Sus scrofa: one gene and its partners. The protein of the gene in region 3 interacts with the protein of the main gene of each other region in a biochemical or structural test. Links are inferred from orthologs where the notes say so. Each region holds a gene or a part of one and is shown on either strand. Other genes may lie near its edges.

What was found.
Region 1: the proteins of NCOA6 (region 3) and THRA form a complex in vitro, tested with the Homo sapiens proteins (2 studies listed by BioGRID). The link is inferred for Sus scrofa from reciprocal best matches to the Homo sapiens genes NCOA6 and THRA.
Region 2: the proteins of NCOA6 (region 3) and PPARG interact in a test that uses a peptide from one of them, tested with the Homo sapiens proteins (2 studies listed by BioGRID). The link is inferred for Sus scrofa from reciprocal best matches to the Homo sapiens genes NCOA6 and PPARG.

What each region holds. Positions count from the first base shown.
Region 1 is NC_010454.4:22,281,076-22,286,839, forward strand, and holds the start of THRA (thyroid hormone receptor alpha), read right to left. Parts: upstream 4,086-5,764; 5' UTR 3,950-4,085; coding exon 3,897-3,949; intron 1,522-3,896; coding exon 1,454-1,521; intron 905-1,453; coding exon 804-904; intron 1-803.
Region 2 is NC_010455.5:68,431,339-68,435,726, reverse strand, and holds the end of PPARG (peroxisome proliferator-activated receptor gamma), read right to left. Parts: intron 2,237-4,388; coding exon 1,989-2,236; 3' UTR 1,780-1,988; downstream 1-1,779. UniProt on the Homo sapiens protein: Nuclear receptor that binds peroxisome proliferators such as hypolipidemic drugs and fatty acids.
Region 3 is NC_010459.5:38,144,663-38,150,326, forward strand, and holds part of NCOA6 (nuclear receptor coactivator 6), read right to left. Parts: intron 5,314-5,664; coding exon 5,185-5,313; intron 4,485-5,184; coding exon 3,639-4,484; intron 1,593-3,638; coding exon 1,446-1,592; intron 1-1,445. UniProt on the Homo sapiens protein: Nuclear receptor coactivator that directly binds nuclear receptors and stimulates the transcriptional activities in a hormone-dependent fashion. Coactivates expression in an agonist- and AF2-dependent manner.

The DNA of each region.
Region 1 (5,764 bases), on a different chromosome or scaffold from region 3:
GCTCCTAGAAAAACCACGCGGGTTGAAATGTCCAAAGAGAGCTCCATAGTCTGTGACCTTGTCCACCCAAGGTCTATGCCCTTGACCTCTCTGCCCAGGGAGACTCTGCCATCCTCTCTTCTGGGCTCCATCACGCCCCCCACCCCCCAGCCTCAGCACTGGTCTTCACCCTTTCAGGATCAGCAGAAGCAACTGGGAGCCTGTTCCAAGGCAGATTCCTGGGCTCCACCACAAAAGATTCTGACTGAATGGGGCTGGCATGAGGCCTGGGGATCTACAATGAACAGGTACCGCAGGTGGTCCAGGAACTACATTTTGTAAAAGACTGATGTGGCTTTCAACGGATGTCTGTCTCTCTCTGGCAGGCTGTGAGCAGTCTGAGGGCAGGGCATATACGACTCTTCTCACACTCACACATGGGGTGGATGAATGAAAGCTGACATTGATTGAGTGCCTCCTATGTGCTTGGCACTGTTTTAAATACTCTACGTGCGCGATCTCATTTAATTCTCCCAACAGCTCTGTGAGGTAGGTAGTATGATGAACCCCACTTCACAGATGAAGAAACTGAGGCGCAAAGAGATTAGGCATCTTACCCATGAGTAACAGAGCAGGGATGGTCAATGGATGAATGAAGGAATGAATGAATGAATAAGAGAAGAGGAATGATGCTCTAACAGGTAGGCTTTAGGTTACATGTTTATAGAGCTGTCTCTGGTGCCAGGTGCTGAGGGACTGAAAGGGAACGAGATGGGGGGGGGGCTCAGGTGGTGGGAGAGGGGCAGGAGCTGGCTGGTCCATACCTTGCAGCCCTCACAAGTGATGCAGCGGTAGTGATAACCGGTTGCCTTGTCCCCACACACGACACACTGCTCGTCTTTGTCCAGGTAACTAGGGATATACCCTGGGAGGGAGGAAGGGAGGCAGGCAGGCAGGCATGGCTTGGGCCCCAGCAAAGAGGCTCCTACGCTTTCTCCATCCCCCAGCTTTTCCTTCCTGGCCCATCCCCTGGCCCAGCTTCCCTGAAGGGTTCTTGGCCTCCAGGTAGAATCCTGGAGACACACGAGAGGTCATCTCGTCCAGCCCCTTCCCTAAAGATAACCAGAATCCCAGTTCTTCCGACTGCCCAGTTAGGGCTTTTCTCTTGCTGCATCCAAGGGGCAGGGGATATGGGAGAAGGAGCAGCCCCCGCCAGCAGCAGCTGGCCTCAGGGACCTCAGGCAAGAGGGTTACGTGAGAAGGGAAGAGGCCCTTCCTGACCAAACCCATCCTCAAAGGGCGAGGCGCGCCTCGCATCTCCCCTCTCATCCCAGACACATCCTTCCCAAGCTCTCTCAGAGGCTCTTCCCACGGGACACAGGAATTGCGGGTGCACGCCCAGGCCCCGGAAGAGCCCTGGCCTGGTTTGCTGGGGTTCAGGGTGGGGAGGAAGAGCACACGCAGCCAGGCTCACCTGACATGCTGGTTTTCAGGGAACATTGGCCGTTCTTTCTTTTTCGCTTTCCATCTGGTGACCTGGCACTGGATGGGGGCAAAGTGGGCAGAATCAGAGAGCAGTCCTTGGGCAGCCCCCTTCTCATTCAACAGGCTGAGGTCTTCCCCCAGGCCCGACTCCCTCCAGCTCGGGTCCTCGTTCTACCTCCCACCCCCAGGTCAGCTGACAAAACTGGAAAAGGTCTGGCTATCTAGAAGCTTTGGGTGAGAGATAAGGGGCTCGGCTGGGGCACAAGCATGATCTAGGGCCCCCACCTATATACACACATGAGCACGCGCTACAGGACCTTCGGCGCCCATCGTCTCTAAGATAGCCACCTATTTAAGCTTTCAGTACATGACACACAAGCAGAAAGAATCTTCAGGACGGGCTTAAAGCGATGCAAGCTTTCGAATACACACGTACATCTGCACCGTAAGACTAGCGCATATGAAGAGCTACGCCGCCTGCCGTTTAAACCCAAGCACAGTTAAATAAGCAGCAGGCTCTACCATCTCTATCTATGCGACTTTCAGGGCTTTCTCAAATGTGTTATATGACCTCTAGGGTATGCCCACGTGTTACACAACCCTCCGGACAGGCACCTAATAATACCATGCCCCTCCCCCCGCCAGTGAACATGTCGCTTGATTTTCAGGTCACAGCCACAGTGGCCCACTAGAACCTAAACCAAGTATAATATGGGAAAAGGAGGGGACTTCCACGGCCACTCTGTCCACGGCCTCCATTTAACAGAGCAGTAAACCCAGGCCCCACTGGTGCCTGGTGACACTGTGTGCTAGAGTCAGAGCCGCGACAAGGACCCCAAGCCTCGCCAAATAAGGAGTTAGCAACCCCCCAGCCCCTGCACACATATGTCGCCAGCCTCCCCACATACGTGTTACATAACCTTGGCACACACAGGTTACATAAGCCTTCTACATGCACACACGGATTGTATAACCTCCCGCCCCCACCCTGTGTGTGGCATGTTGCAGGGCCCTACCCCCGACTCCCCAGCCTGATGCAGCTCCCAGCACACTGACACAGTGACCTTGGCCAGGGTCACAGTCACAGGGAGCTCTGTGCTCTACATCCCCTGGGGATTACCCGGTCTGGTTTCTACACCGGTTGGAGAATCACATCTCCCCCTCCTGCCTCCGGAGGGGGGTGGGTGTAGGGGACCTCCCCCAGCCCAGTTGAGCTGCGGGTCTTTAGCAATTAGCTAGACGCAAAGCCTCTGGGTGCAGTCCCAGAGACAGCCACAAGGTGGCGCGGGGACATGGGGGAGGGGAGGCTGACGGGGAGGGGCTGCAGTCCTGGGGGACAGGAACTAAGCATTCCCGCCTTTCTCTGAATTAGGAGCCGACCCTCCCAGACCCATGGAAGTGTGGGCGGGAAAGAACAGGGGCTGCAAGTGACAGCTTCACGATGACAGGCCAAATCTTTTTTCAGAGCCCCCCTGGGGTGAGGCTTGGGGAGGGGGGGATACCCCCATTGCCCTACCCAACTGCCAGCCCCATCCACTTCCTCCACCCCTCCAGGGACCCAATCTTGGGCCCCAGGGCTTTGCCTGGCCAGGCCTCCGGCCTCCTGGCTCAGGATCTGGTCTCCTAGGCAACGGCCACACTGCTCCCCAGAGCACCCCTCCCCCACCCTCTCCCTGGCCATAGGCACAGGCTGTACCCAGCTCCCAAGGCACCACGCCAACTGAGACCGAGCTCTGTGCCACTTGGAACTGATGGGAGAGGCAGAGACCCTCTGGACGCCCGAAGCGCAATGCGGATCATAGGGAACCCATCCCCAGCTGTGTGTGCAGGGCTGATGCTTCCTCCACGTGGGAGCAAATCTTCAGAGCTGGCATTCACTTCCACTTCCTGGGAGGAGCCCCATGGCATTGCCCGCCCTTGCCCATGAACAAGGAAGAGCTTGTGAGGCTCCCAATATGTTCCAAATATAAGCGTGAGTTGTGATCAACAGTTACTGGTGCATGGTGCCCTGAAATGCCATGTCACACGCACCATGGCTTCTGGACCTCACACTAGTGGTCAGACGTGAAGAGGCTGGGAGGGAGAGGAGGAAAATGGCCAGGCTGTTTGGATTCCACATGCTCAGGTGAGGGTGGCTGAGGGGAAGCTGGGGGGCATTGGAGACTCCGAGCACTGACAAGGGAGGGGCCGCATGCCTGCTGCCTGTAATTACTCTGTGCTGCACGCCCTCCCCCTTTCAAAACGGGCATCTCTCCCTCCAGGTGCCTAATTCCCAGCCACATGGGAACATGACCTCATCTCCTGGGCAAAGGTAGGCAGCAGGCTTGCCGGCCTCAGGCCCATCCCCCCAGGGGTGCTAAAAGGCCCAAGCTCAGTGCTCTCTGGCCCAGCCCAGCGACTGCTGCACGACACCTAGTTGCCGGACCCATTACCTGTTCTCCTCTGGGTCTGACCCACACTCCACCTTGCTTGGCTTCTGTTCCATTCACTTCAATTCCATCCAGGATGCCCTCCAGCACGCCAAGAGACTGGGGTGGGCACACTGGCCCCCCCGGCACACCCACAGGCCACCCACCCCCCGCCACCCAGGCCCTAGGGCACAGCACCCATGGTGCCCGCCTCAGCACTTGGCCTTTCACACCATGCCCTGCACCCCAAGGGGGGAGCGGGCGGTGAGAAGGGGGCCAGGGAGTGGCAGGTGGTAGGGCTGGGGGGCAAGCTGAGTCTGTGGGGGGGGTCCTGGGCTGGGGGAGTAGCTTCGGAATCTTGTCCTGTCCGGAGGTCCCTGCAGAGAGAGGAGAGAGGCAGGGATAAGGCGGCGCCGTGGTGGGAGGAGGTGAATAGGATTCCTTCGGCGCCAACATTTTGGGCTCTTGGGGCTTATCACGAGATGGTGGTAGGCATGGAGGGAGGGCAGGCATCGGGAGAGGACCGGGAAGCCCTTCGGCTCGACAGACAGCAGGCAAGGCTGGAGATTCACATCCCGGTCCCCAGACATGGAAAGGGATGGAGGGAAAGAATGAGGTAATCCACGTAGCACGTCTCAAGCCTCACAGTCAAGCAAGGGCCTGGCCCCTTCATACGCGTCTATTACACATCAGCCCTTGTTACCACCCCTCAGCCAAGGTGTCGTTAGTATCACAGGGAAAGAAGTGACCAGAGATGGAGTTCCCTCCGTGGCTCAGCAGTTAACGATCCCGGCTGGGATCCATGAGGAGGCGGGTTCGATCCCTGGCCTCACTCAGTGGGTTAAGGACCCGGTGTTGCCGTGAGCTGTGGTGCAGGTCGCAGACGCGGCTCAGATCCCGTGTTGCCGTGGCTCTGGTGGAGGCCGGCAGCTGGAGCTCCGATTGGACCCCTCGCCTGGGAACCTCCATGTGCTGAGAGTGTGGCCCTTAAAAAAAAAAAGAAGAAGAAGAAGTGACCAGAGATGAGCAGCTTTCATTCAGCCCAGGCATGGGGGGGGTCCCGGTGAAGGAAGTGTGAGCGCCCACCTGAGGGCCTCAATGGAGAGGGATGCTGAAAAGAGCAGCCAGCCGACCTCCCCTGCTGCTGGCCGACTTAGGCCTCTCCAACCCCGGCCCCCCAAGGAGCTTCCCATACAAGGTCCCAAGTCACACTTCCCAGTCTGAGGACCAGACTTCCCAGTTGGTTTAGCTGAGCTGCCACCCACTGGGATGGACAGGGAGGGCGAGAGGAAACCAACAGGCATTAAGGGAATAGAGAGTATATGTCCACCCAGGTGGGCATCAGAACTTCGCAGGTGAGAAAAAGAAGCCTCGGAAAGCTTGCCCGTTCACTCAAGTTCACACAGCTTGCAAACAGCCTGCCGCCAATGCTAGCTTTGTTCTGCCAGCTGGGGTCCAGGGCACCGCCCACCTGGGCCGACCATTCCCTCCAGGTTTGCACCTCTGACCCTAGGCTACACACCTGAGGCTCGGTGACTGCCCACCCAGGCAGGTGTGGGCACGTGAGAGGGGCCAAGAGGCGCAGCTCCCCACACACAACCTCCCTCCTGTGGCTGCTTCCCCAGAGACCTTGCCCCGGGGGCCCCCAGGCCCCACCCCCAGGAACTGATAAGGAGCCAGGATGGGAGGGGAAAGGAGAGATAAGCCAGGCCATTGGGCAGGGCCGGCGGGAGCGGGAGCGGGACAGGGCCTCTGCGCTCAGGCCAGCCCCCCGCCTGGGGAGCCCGGCAAGAGTGCAGAAGCGTGGTCCATTCTGCCTTTGATCCTCGCACCGACCAGGACCGGGCACTGGGGGCCGGACAGGAGACACTGGTGGGGGGGGGGTGTGCGAG
Region 2 (4,388 bases), on a different chromosome or scaffold from region 3:
CACAGGGAAAAAGTCGGGGAGATGGGAATGTGAAAGCTGCCAGGATTTAAAAGCTGTTTAATGCTAACCATCAGTGCCAAAGAGCTGAGAGCGGCTCCCTTCCTCCCTGCGCTGGCAACGACAGCTCCCAGAACATGAAGAAGGTTTGGACTGGCTGCAGCGTGCTGAAAGGTTCTTTGTTCCAGCCCTCTTGTAAACAAGGGATCTCCTCAGAGGTGGGATCCTCACCTTGTCCACTGCCTGCACCCTCTTGCTCTCTCAACATCCCCGGAAGATAAACTCTCCACGTGGAAGAGCAACGAAGCCAGATGTGTGGATGTTTCAAACTATGCTGCTGTTTGACATCAAGGAAGGAAGAGCCCTATGCTGTACTGAATTGGTCACTTTCCTTGCCCACATTCTGATGTCACTTAGACAACGACCTCAGTCCGATGGTCCCCAATAAGGTGGTTGTGCCTGTGGTTCTAGAGGTTTGAGCTCAGGAGCTGTCTTTTCTAAAGGGCTAGGGATCCTGCAGGTTTGGGGCTAGGGTCGCGACACACTTCTGTAAACTGAGATCTGTTTATCTGGGGGTAAAGGACGAAAAGGTCTTTCTTGATATTTTGGCTTGAAAACCTCAAATGTAAGGTTATGTCCTTCTCAGTACCAAAGCCACGAGGAGAGAGAAAATGCAGGGAGAAGCGGAAGGGAGATCATTTAGGTTGGTGGAAACAAGCAAGTGAGACCTCAGCATGGTTTGCTTACGAGGACTTCCTGGAAGTTGCCATGTGTGTTCATGGATAAGCAATGCTAATGAACTTTGTGGCATCAAGCAACAAATCTATTAATTGTGCCAAGAAGATTCCTGCTTTGAGGGACCATGTCATCTAGTTGCTGGGGAGGCTGGCCTCCCCTAAACGGATAATTAGGCTTTGAGATTGGAAAAGTCAGAGCTTCCTGGGCAAAGTGGTCCCAAGAAGGAAGGCAGGAAGATGTACAGCAAAACTGCTTGAGACCAGAACATGGCCCTTCTCCCTCACTCATGTTTTGCTTTGCTTTTGTTTCCTTTTGCTATTGTTTCTGTGGTTTTGCTTTCCTAGAATGTCTTCTCTCCAACTCTCTACCTATCTCAAGTAAAACGCATCCTTTGAGGCCCACTTGAATGAATTTATGATCACTCAAGACTTTTCCAATCTTCTTAATCTTTACTTTGAACTCAGAGCACTTGGAGTCTGAACCATACATTTGGCACAGGATTATACTGTACATATTAATCTGTTTGTGAGAAAAATTAATCTTTTTTTCCCCCCTCAATTCAATAATAAGTTCTTTTTGGCAGGTGCCACATCTTATACCACTTGTGTTACAGCATCTAGCAGTTAATACCCTCCAGTGGGTATCTGTCTGTGCCTTGGTGTCCTGTTAGAGGGCTGCTGTTGGTGAGTGAAAATCTTGATTGGGGCTGGGGAAGAAGACTGAATTCTTGGTAAGCCTAGGGACATGGTCAACATTAGTCCATCCAGGTTAAGAAACACATGCTCTGAGTAGTTTTCAGTCCTGAAATTCCTCGCTTAGTTGTGATTTTTAAAACAGTTACAAGGTTCAGAAACATTGTAAATGGAGTAAAAAACTTGACTGAAAATGGAAATTGATCAGCAATCCCATTCACATTGTTTCACACTGTAAGAAAGAAAAAAGGAAAAATAAAGGAAGGAAGAGGGAGGAGATAAAAGGAAAAAAATACCTGGGGAGTGGTGATGGGAGACACAACAGACTCAGTCTTCAAAGACATCCAGCAAGTTCATGATGTGGTAATTTTTAATATTAAAAGTAAATTGTAAATGTATCTTTATAAACAATATGCATAAAATAGATCTATTATTCTAAAACCTTTTCTTTTTCAAACGCTTTTTCACAGTAATTTTTTTTAGGTGTCAGATTTTTTTTCCCCCAAAATAATAGTGCAATTGGAAGAAGGAGAATGTTGTCGGTGAACGTGGACTTCTTTGCTAGTACAAGTCCTTGTATATTTCCTGTAGGAGTGGGTGAAGGCTCATGTCCGTCTCTGTCTTCTTTATTACTTGCAGCAGCTGCACGTGCTCTGTCACAATCTGTCTGAGGTCTGTCATTTTCTGGAGCAGCTTAGCAAAGAGCTGGGAGGACTCTGGGTGGTTCAACTTGAGCTGCAGCTCCAAGGCTTGCAGCAAATTGTCTTGAATGTCCTCGATGGGCTTCACATTCAGCAAACCTGGGCGGTCTGGGGGAGCAGAAATGGAAGACAGAACAGGAGGTTTAGGTATAAAATTCTCTGGCCAATGACTTTTTGTTGGTTTTGTTTTGGTTCTAAAATAGGATGGGGGCAGGGGAGGTAAGCAGAGAGTTGGCAAGAACTGCATATAAGAAAAAAGGAATAAAACCCAAGACTATCAGAGCTTTTTCCAAGACCATTCTTTTCCCGTAGGACTAAATCTGTGTGACCAGATGACAGAACGTGGTGGCATGGCAATCACTTCCCAGATTGCAGATTCTTCTGCTGGCATTATTTCTACTCACTCAGAAATCTCATTTTTAACTTCTGCTCCTTCCTGATGAGTCTATGTTTTATAATCTTATTTTCTTACCACAACTTTCAACACACTTTCATTTTTTTTATAATGATTTTAATTTTTTCAATTCTAGCTGGTTTACAGTGTTGTGTCAATTTTCTACTGTACAGCAAGGTGACCTAGTCACACATACACATATACATTCTTTTTTCTCACATTATCATGCTCCATCGTAAGTGACTAGATAGAGTTCCCAGTGCTAAACAGCAGGATCAACACACTTTTAAAATAAACTTTGTCTTCTTTTTGCTTAACATAGCATATGCATTTTTCAAAGAGATGAGACATAGTTTTCAAATTCTGTTATACTTTTGGAAGGATAGACCAAGTTTTAACAGAGGCTTCTCTTTCGACAGGTGAGGATGCAGGTAGATTTCACTTTCTTCTTTATACTTTCCTTATTTGAACTTTTAAATGGTGAGCTTAGATTACTTTTAAATTTTTAATGTTTTTTCTTCATGGAGGTCTTTTTAGATTTCTTCTTAAATACTTTCCAGTATTCTTTATTTTTACTTGTTTCCTTTCTAGTATTCTATACTTCTTTTTCATTACATTTTCTAATGTATCCCTGCTGATGTTTAGAAAAAAGTTAGGTTTTATTATACTGAATCTATTCCAATTTCCTAAACTCTTCTCAAATCAAACAGTTTGTATCATGGGTTAAAAAAATTATTTTTTGGATAGACAATTATATCTGCAAATAATCATATTTTTATTATTTGTTTTGTTCATAAGTTTTATTTATTTCTTTTTTTCTAGTGTTTATAGTTCTCATTTCTTTTTTTTGCCATACTGCATTGGCTAATAATGCTAATACGGTAAATAGTAGCAGTACTGGGAAGCATTCTTATTTTATTCCTAAGCTTGAAGGAAATGCTTCTAATGGTTTACCACAAGTATGGTATTTACTAGAGTATGGTGGATATGTTTTTCTCCAGATTCTCCCAGAGTTTTAAAGGTTTTAATTTTAGTTAGGAATGTTGTTGCATTTCATCAAATGCTTTCAAGTTTTTCTACCTAAAATGTTGACCATATAGTTTTATCTTAAGCTAGTGTAGTGAATTATATTAATAGATTTTCTTATACCCTTGCATTCATTTGCTATATATTTTATTTAGGGTTTTTAAAATTGGGATAGTGGTCCAGAGTCGTCTTCTTTTGTGCCATCCTTTGCCTGTTTTGGTAATAAATATTAACTAGCCTTACAGACTGAGTTGAGAAGTTTTCCTTCTGTTTCTATGTAGTGATGATCTAGTCCTTGATGGTTTTTTTTGGAATTCATTTGCAGAACCATTTGAGCCTGGTGGTAAATCTTTGAGTATCTTTACTTTTCCTCCTATAGCTTTTAATTTATTCAGGCTTTTTACTACTTACAAAGTAAAATTTTAGTAATTTATATTGGAATGGATTTGTACAAGATAGCCTCTTTTATTTTTATTTATACCTCCCTTTAACTGAAGGCTTCTTGTGTATTCTCACTTAAAAATCTGATTTGCCAAAGGCTTATCTATTTTTTGCTTTTTGAAAAAGCGAAACTTTGCTTTTAGTGATCAACTGTTTTTTTTTTATTGCACTTGGTTTTCAATTTAGTTATTCATTTTTTAACTTTTAGTTTTTTTTTTCTTTTTCTCATTTCTTGGTTTGAACACTTAATTCATTTAGTTTCAGTAATTCTTGTTTTCTAATAGATGAGTTTAAAGCTCTAAAATTTCCTTTGAATATCACTTTCATTTTACCCCATAGGCTTTGGTAAATCATACTCTCATAGTTCTTTTCTAGTCCATTTTACTATTTTGATTTCAC
Region 3 (5,664 bases):
CATGAGGTTGCGGGTTTGATCCCTAGCCTTGCTCAGTGGGTTGAGGATCCGGTGTTGCTATGAGCTGTGGTGTAGTTTGAAGACATGGCTCAGATCTGACGTTGCTGTGGCTGTGGTGTAGGCCAGTGGCTACAGCTCCAATTAGACCCCTAGCCTAGGAACCTCCATATGCCATGGGTTTGGCCCAAAAAAGGACAAAAAGGCAAAACAAACAAACAAATAAATAAAAGTTTAAAACTATTCTCCTTCCTTAGAGATGTACACTTAAAGTTGGAATCACAAAACTACCTCCAAGTGGGGATGCAAGTTCAAATAATATATGTGCTATCTCAGTCCAAACTGCCTGAATGAGAAAGCGTAAGAAGATTAGTCATGTGGTACCTGAGCAATCAGAAACATGAAGTCTGGGCTTATCCAATATTGTTTTACAAATACTTTTTAGTCATTCTGGTTCTATACTCTTTGTCCTCCTAAGTTTCTTCTTATATTCAACACATTGTTGACATTTAATCTGTATTGATTAAATCCTGGTCTTTAAACACCACACTATAAACCAGAGTTCAGACACTGAACATAAAAACAAAGTTAACATGTACTACAAAGAAATTTTAAAAGTTGTATTTGTTCAAAATGCCATGTGCCTTCATGCCTTTGTACCTATCACTTCCTTTGTCAGAAACATTTTCTTTCTTTCTTTCTTTTTTTTTTGTCTTTTTTGAGGGCTGCACCCCTGGCATGTGGAGGCTGCCAGGTTAGGGACTGAATGGGAACCGTAGCTGCTGGCCTACACCACAGTCACAGCAATGTGGGATCTGAGCCGCGTCTGCGACCTATACCACAGCTCACAGAAATGCCAGATCCTTAACCCACTGAGCAAGGCCAAGGATCGAACCTGCGTCCTCAGGGATGCTAGTCACATTTGTTTCTGCTGAGCCATGATGGGAACTCCAGAAACACTTTCTTTAGTGTCCATTCACTAACTCAGGGGTCAGCAAACTATGGCCATGGGCCAAATCCATTGCCATTGCCAGCTTGTAAATAAACAGTGTTTGGAACACGGCCATGCTCATTCATTCACGTATTGTCTATGGCTACTTTGGTGCTACAAGAACAAAGTTAAGTAACTGCAACAGAGAACATACAACCTGCAAAGCCTAAAGTATTTACTATTTGGTTCATTTCAGGAAAAGAAAAACAAACAAACAAAAAAACCCCCAAAAAACCCTGCTAACCCCAGCTTTACCTCGTTTCATCTCCTTTCTTCAGGTGTTTCTAGATTTTCGAGACATTCTACCTACTTTTGATATGTCAGTTATTGCCCTGAAAGAATAATTATTTATAGGTCCGAAACTAAGAGGAAGAACTAGGACTTATATTTCTCTGTATATCCTTGTGGTCCACACAATGCTCAATAAATGCTTGCTGAATAAATCACAAAAACAAACCTGCATGCTGGACATTTTGATTTGCTTGCAGCTGAGGGGCTCCTGAATTCCCAGGGGTAGTTGCTGTGGTCGAAGGCACCTGACCTTGCATAAAGTTCGGATTGGCCTGTCCTGCTGAGAAGCCAGGTGGGAGGCGTTTAGGCATTCCTTAATAGAAAACAACGAGTAAGGCAGTTACCTAGCAAATTTATACTCTTGCTTAGATGTGGAATGAATAAGGAAGGATGAGCTGCATGAAGCCTCCACTGGCTTAGCTCTCTCTGTCACACTGGTAGGATCTTTAATAATAAGGTTGGGAAAGATGGTTAAAAAAATCAACACAATCTCTTACATGAGCATTGTCAAAATGAAAAAGAAATACTAAAAAATTTACACTTAGAACATGCCAAGGAAAAGATGGCAATCTGCTCCCTAAATGTGATCTGAGGCCACGTCACAGCAAGGTTTAGGGCTCACTTTTCTCTGTGATACTATGGACCCCAAAACTTTACATACTTTAACACAGGTACCAAAGGAATACGCTAAATTCTCTTATAGTCAAATAAGCTGACAAGAAATACTATAAAACAAAGACCTGGGTCCTGATATTAAGCATAGATAGATGACTTCTTTTCCCCTCCATTGAGGGAAATGAATGACAATTTTCTTTATGGAAAATTTCTCCCCAATATTGTACTTGTCTCTTTGGAAGAGACAAGAGATTAGAAATAATTCAAAGGAATGTCAAAGTGACGATATGTTAAATTTATCATTACACCTTCCCCTCAAATGGTTTGCTGCAATTCTGACAGCTATAGTACCAAAAACTGCTTGAACAGAATCTTACTAAAGTAATACTTTCTTTCATAGGAAGGTTTAATTTAAGAAAACAAAATTGTAATAAGAATCTCAGAATCCACTCACTGTTTATAACAGGCCTGGATGTGGCCAGATCACCTAGGTGAGCATATCATTTGCTCTATGAAAGCATCAAGACCTAAAGCTCACTTAAAATTTTTTTGTGTTAGTCCATTTACTTAAGGGCCAAATTTTCAATGTCCTGAAAAACGCTCTGTAGACAAATATGCATTTGTCCTTTCTTTAGCAGTGACAAGTCCCCATTTACATGCTTCCATTGTAGTTAAATCAGTAATCACATTTGCAGGAGAGACTACCCAGCTTCCACTGATCCAAGGCTAGTTGCCCAGAACAGTGAAGTTTGGAGCTGAAATATTCTTGCATTTTCTAAAAACTTCTTAGGATTCAAATATTATAGCCTGCATGTCAGTAAAAGTAATTACAAGAGAGTGAAAAGACTGATGAGCAACTTAATTTTACCAGAAATCATGGGAACATGCCTTTGCTATGTTGCACTAAAGATGCAAGGATTTTTTTCTGGGTAGGCAATGGGTGTCTTTTGGTGGGGGTATGTTTATCAGATGATAGTATTCCTGATACTCTCTATACCTTACTGAAAAGCTCCAAGCACATTCATGTGCACTAGATCAATGATTAATAAGAATAAATAATAAACATGGAGATGGATAAGTTTTACTGTAATCGTTTTACCTCTCACACATTAAGCTCCATTGCTTTTTCTTCATACAAGAGGCACCTTACAAAATAAATAAATAAATCTCCTTTAGGTATAACTGGTGGAATTCCCTCTCTAAGGAGCAGGCATTGGCATTATAAAACTATAAAAGTCAATGATTCCTGAACTTATTCCCCTTTAATACTTTAATCAAATTTAACAAATACCACGCTATCTACTAACCAGGATTATCAAAATTGAAAGCTAGACGGGCCTTTTCCCCAACAAACCCTATACTTATCTTTTCATTTTTGCTCTATTACATAATCTTAATTTTTTCAACAGCTGAGCAGCTTAAGTTGTTAATAAACTCATGTTTCTTCTGGATGTTTTAACTTACTACTACAAGATCAAGCAAAAATATTTTGAAAAAGAAAATGAACATCTCTATATTGAATTTTACCTGTTTTTATCCAGAGGGCTAGCTTAAACATAACCAGTAAGATGCTGCATCATGCATCAAGTTAACTAAGTTATATAATCAAATGCCATCACTGCATCCACAGAAACAAATAATTACATCCTTATTACACTACCCTCAATTAACTCTAAAAATTGAAGTTCTACTAAGATCTATCTCCAGTAAATTCACCAACACAAACAGCTTCAGTGTTCCTCACCTCCTAGGCCTGGATGTAAACTCTGTGGCCCCTGATTTGGTGCTTGCTGCTGCATCACCATGAAGTTAGGTGGCACGTTTCCCTGTTGAACCATAGGATTCCGACCTGGAGAGCTGACAGGCTGCTGAAATCCCTGGGGAAGTGGGTTATTTTGAGGTGGCCTTGGTCCCATCTGCTGCTGAGTTTGGTTAACTGTTGGGGAGGATGCAGGGGATCCCTGCTGGAAGGAGGAGGGCGAGGAGGCAGGAGACTTGTTGGTGAGGTGGGGCTGCTGCAGGGGGGTTGGGACCCGAGAGGGTCCTCCCTGCAAGCTCTTCATCTGAGGAGCTGTGAACTGGCCTGGGTTGCTCATCTGAGAAAAGTTTGTATGGGCTTGTGAGGCTTGCTGGCTGCCAAAGGGATATGGAGGGGGAGGGTGGGAAGGTGTCTGTACCGTGGCTAAGGATGGTCTTGCCTGGAGTTGCTGTTGCATTGGGCCAGGCAAGGGAGCCTTCTTCCACCCTTGATTTCCAGTCATTGTGCCCAGAGAACCCTGGGCTGGAGGAGGCTGAAGGGCTCCCGAAGGCAGCTGATTCCAGCCTGGAGGAACAGGCACCTGAGTTGGGGCAGTAAATTGGGGTCGAATTCCCTGTGGCTGTTGTTGCTGATGTTGCTGTGGGGGTCTTGCCTGCAGCTGCTGCTGCTGCTGCTGCTGTTGCTGCTGCTGCTGCAGCTGGGGAAAATTAGCTGGATTTATTTGTCTGTTCACAGGGACAGGCTGCATTGGGTGGTGTGGGGGAGCTAAAGATCCTGAGGGATGACTTTGCTGCTGTATATGGAGCCCAGAGAGGAGTGGATCCATTGCATCTGTTTAAAGATAGTCAACAAAGCAATAATTAATTTACTACAACCTAGATCCCAGAGCAGTAGTCTTGGCAATTCTGCAAATATACAGTAAAATCTGCTGGTACCATTCAATGAAATGTTCATGAGCATTTACTATATGCAAATCCACTGCCAGGATGATAGAAAGACAAATCTTATTTAAAAAGAGCTTTTAATTTTAAAGTGGATATAAGAGTCAAACATTAAATATAGAGAGCAATATTTTCCAAAGCATATTCTGAGGAACTATGTTCATTAGAGTTTTAAGAAAACAAATAATATAGTCAATCAGGTTTGGGAAACACTGGTTTCTTCACTGTAGGACTTTCAGTGCCTCCAATATGTTAAACTTTGAATCTCTGGGAGGGAGGATCGAGTAGAATACATTAACCAAATTTGCTTCACTAGAATTCTAGGTCATGGAATAGCAAGACTAAGCAGGTCAAGGAATACATTTTTTAGGAAGGATGGGGTATAACCCATAAGAGAATAATGAGAAACTCTGAGAAGAAATTCTGAGAAGGAAATGGTGAATTTCAGTTTGAAGAAACTATGGTAGATTTTATAAAAAGGATGGCATTTAAGCTGGGGAGTTAGGAATTTGGCATCAGACACAGATGAATTTTGTAATCTGTGCAGGGAGGTCCAGCCTCTTCAATTCGCAGAGTCTGGAGGTCAATACCTGACTGAGAAGCAGGGCGAGGAGTCCTGGGCTGTAGATCTGAATTGGGGCCTGGTGCCATCATGGAAGATGACATGTTTCCACCCTGGGGTATCATAACAGTGGCAGGGTTGGTCATCCTTATTAATCCTAGAGGAAAAAAAAAATCTCTAGAATACAGTATTGGAATTGGCACAATGATTATTTTTAATGAAGTATTTTAAGGATATAAAGAGGTATGGAAAAATTTTATACCACCATCTATCTTATTTATATCTAAACATTCTACGCTGTCTCATTCAGATATTTACGCAGATACACCAGAGCCTCCTTCCCAATATTCCACTCCCTCCTTTTTAAATTTTTTTAAAATAAATTTTATTGGAGAACAGTTGACCTACAAGGTTGTGTTAGTTTCAGGTATATCTAGTCCCTCCTTCTTATATTTGGGGTTAACAGTTTCATACATGTTTATCTTTTCTACATATTTAAGTAAACTGT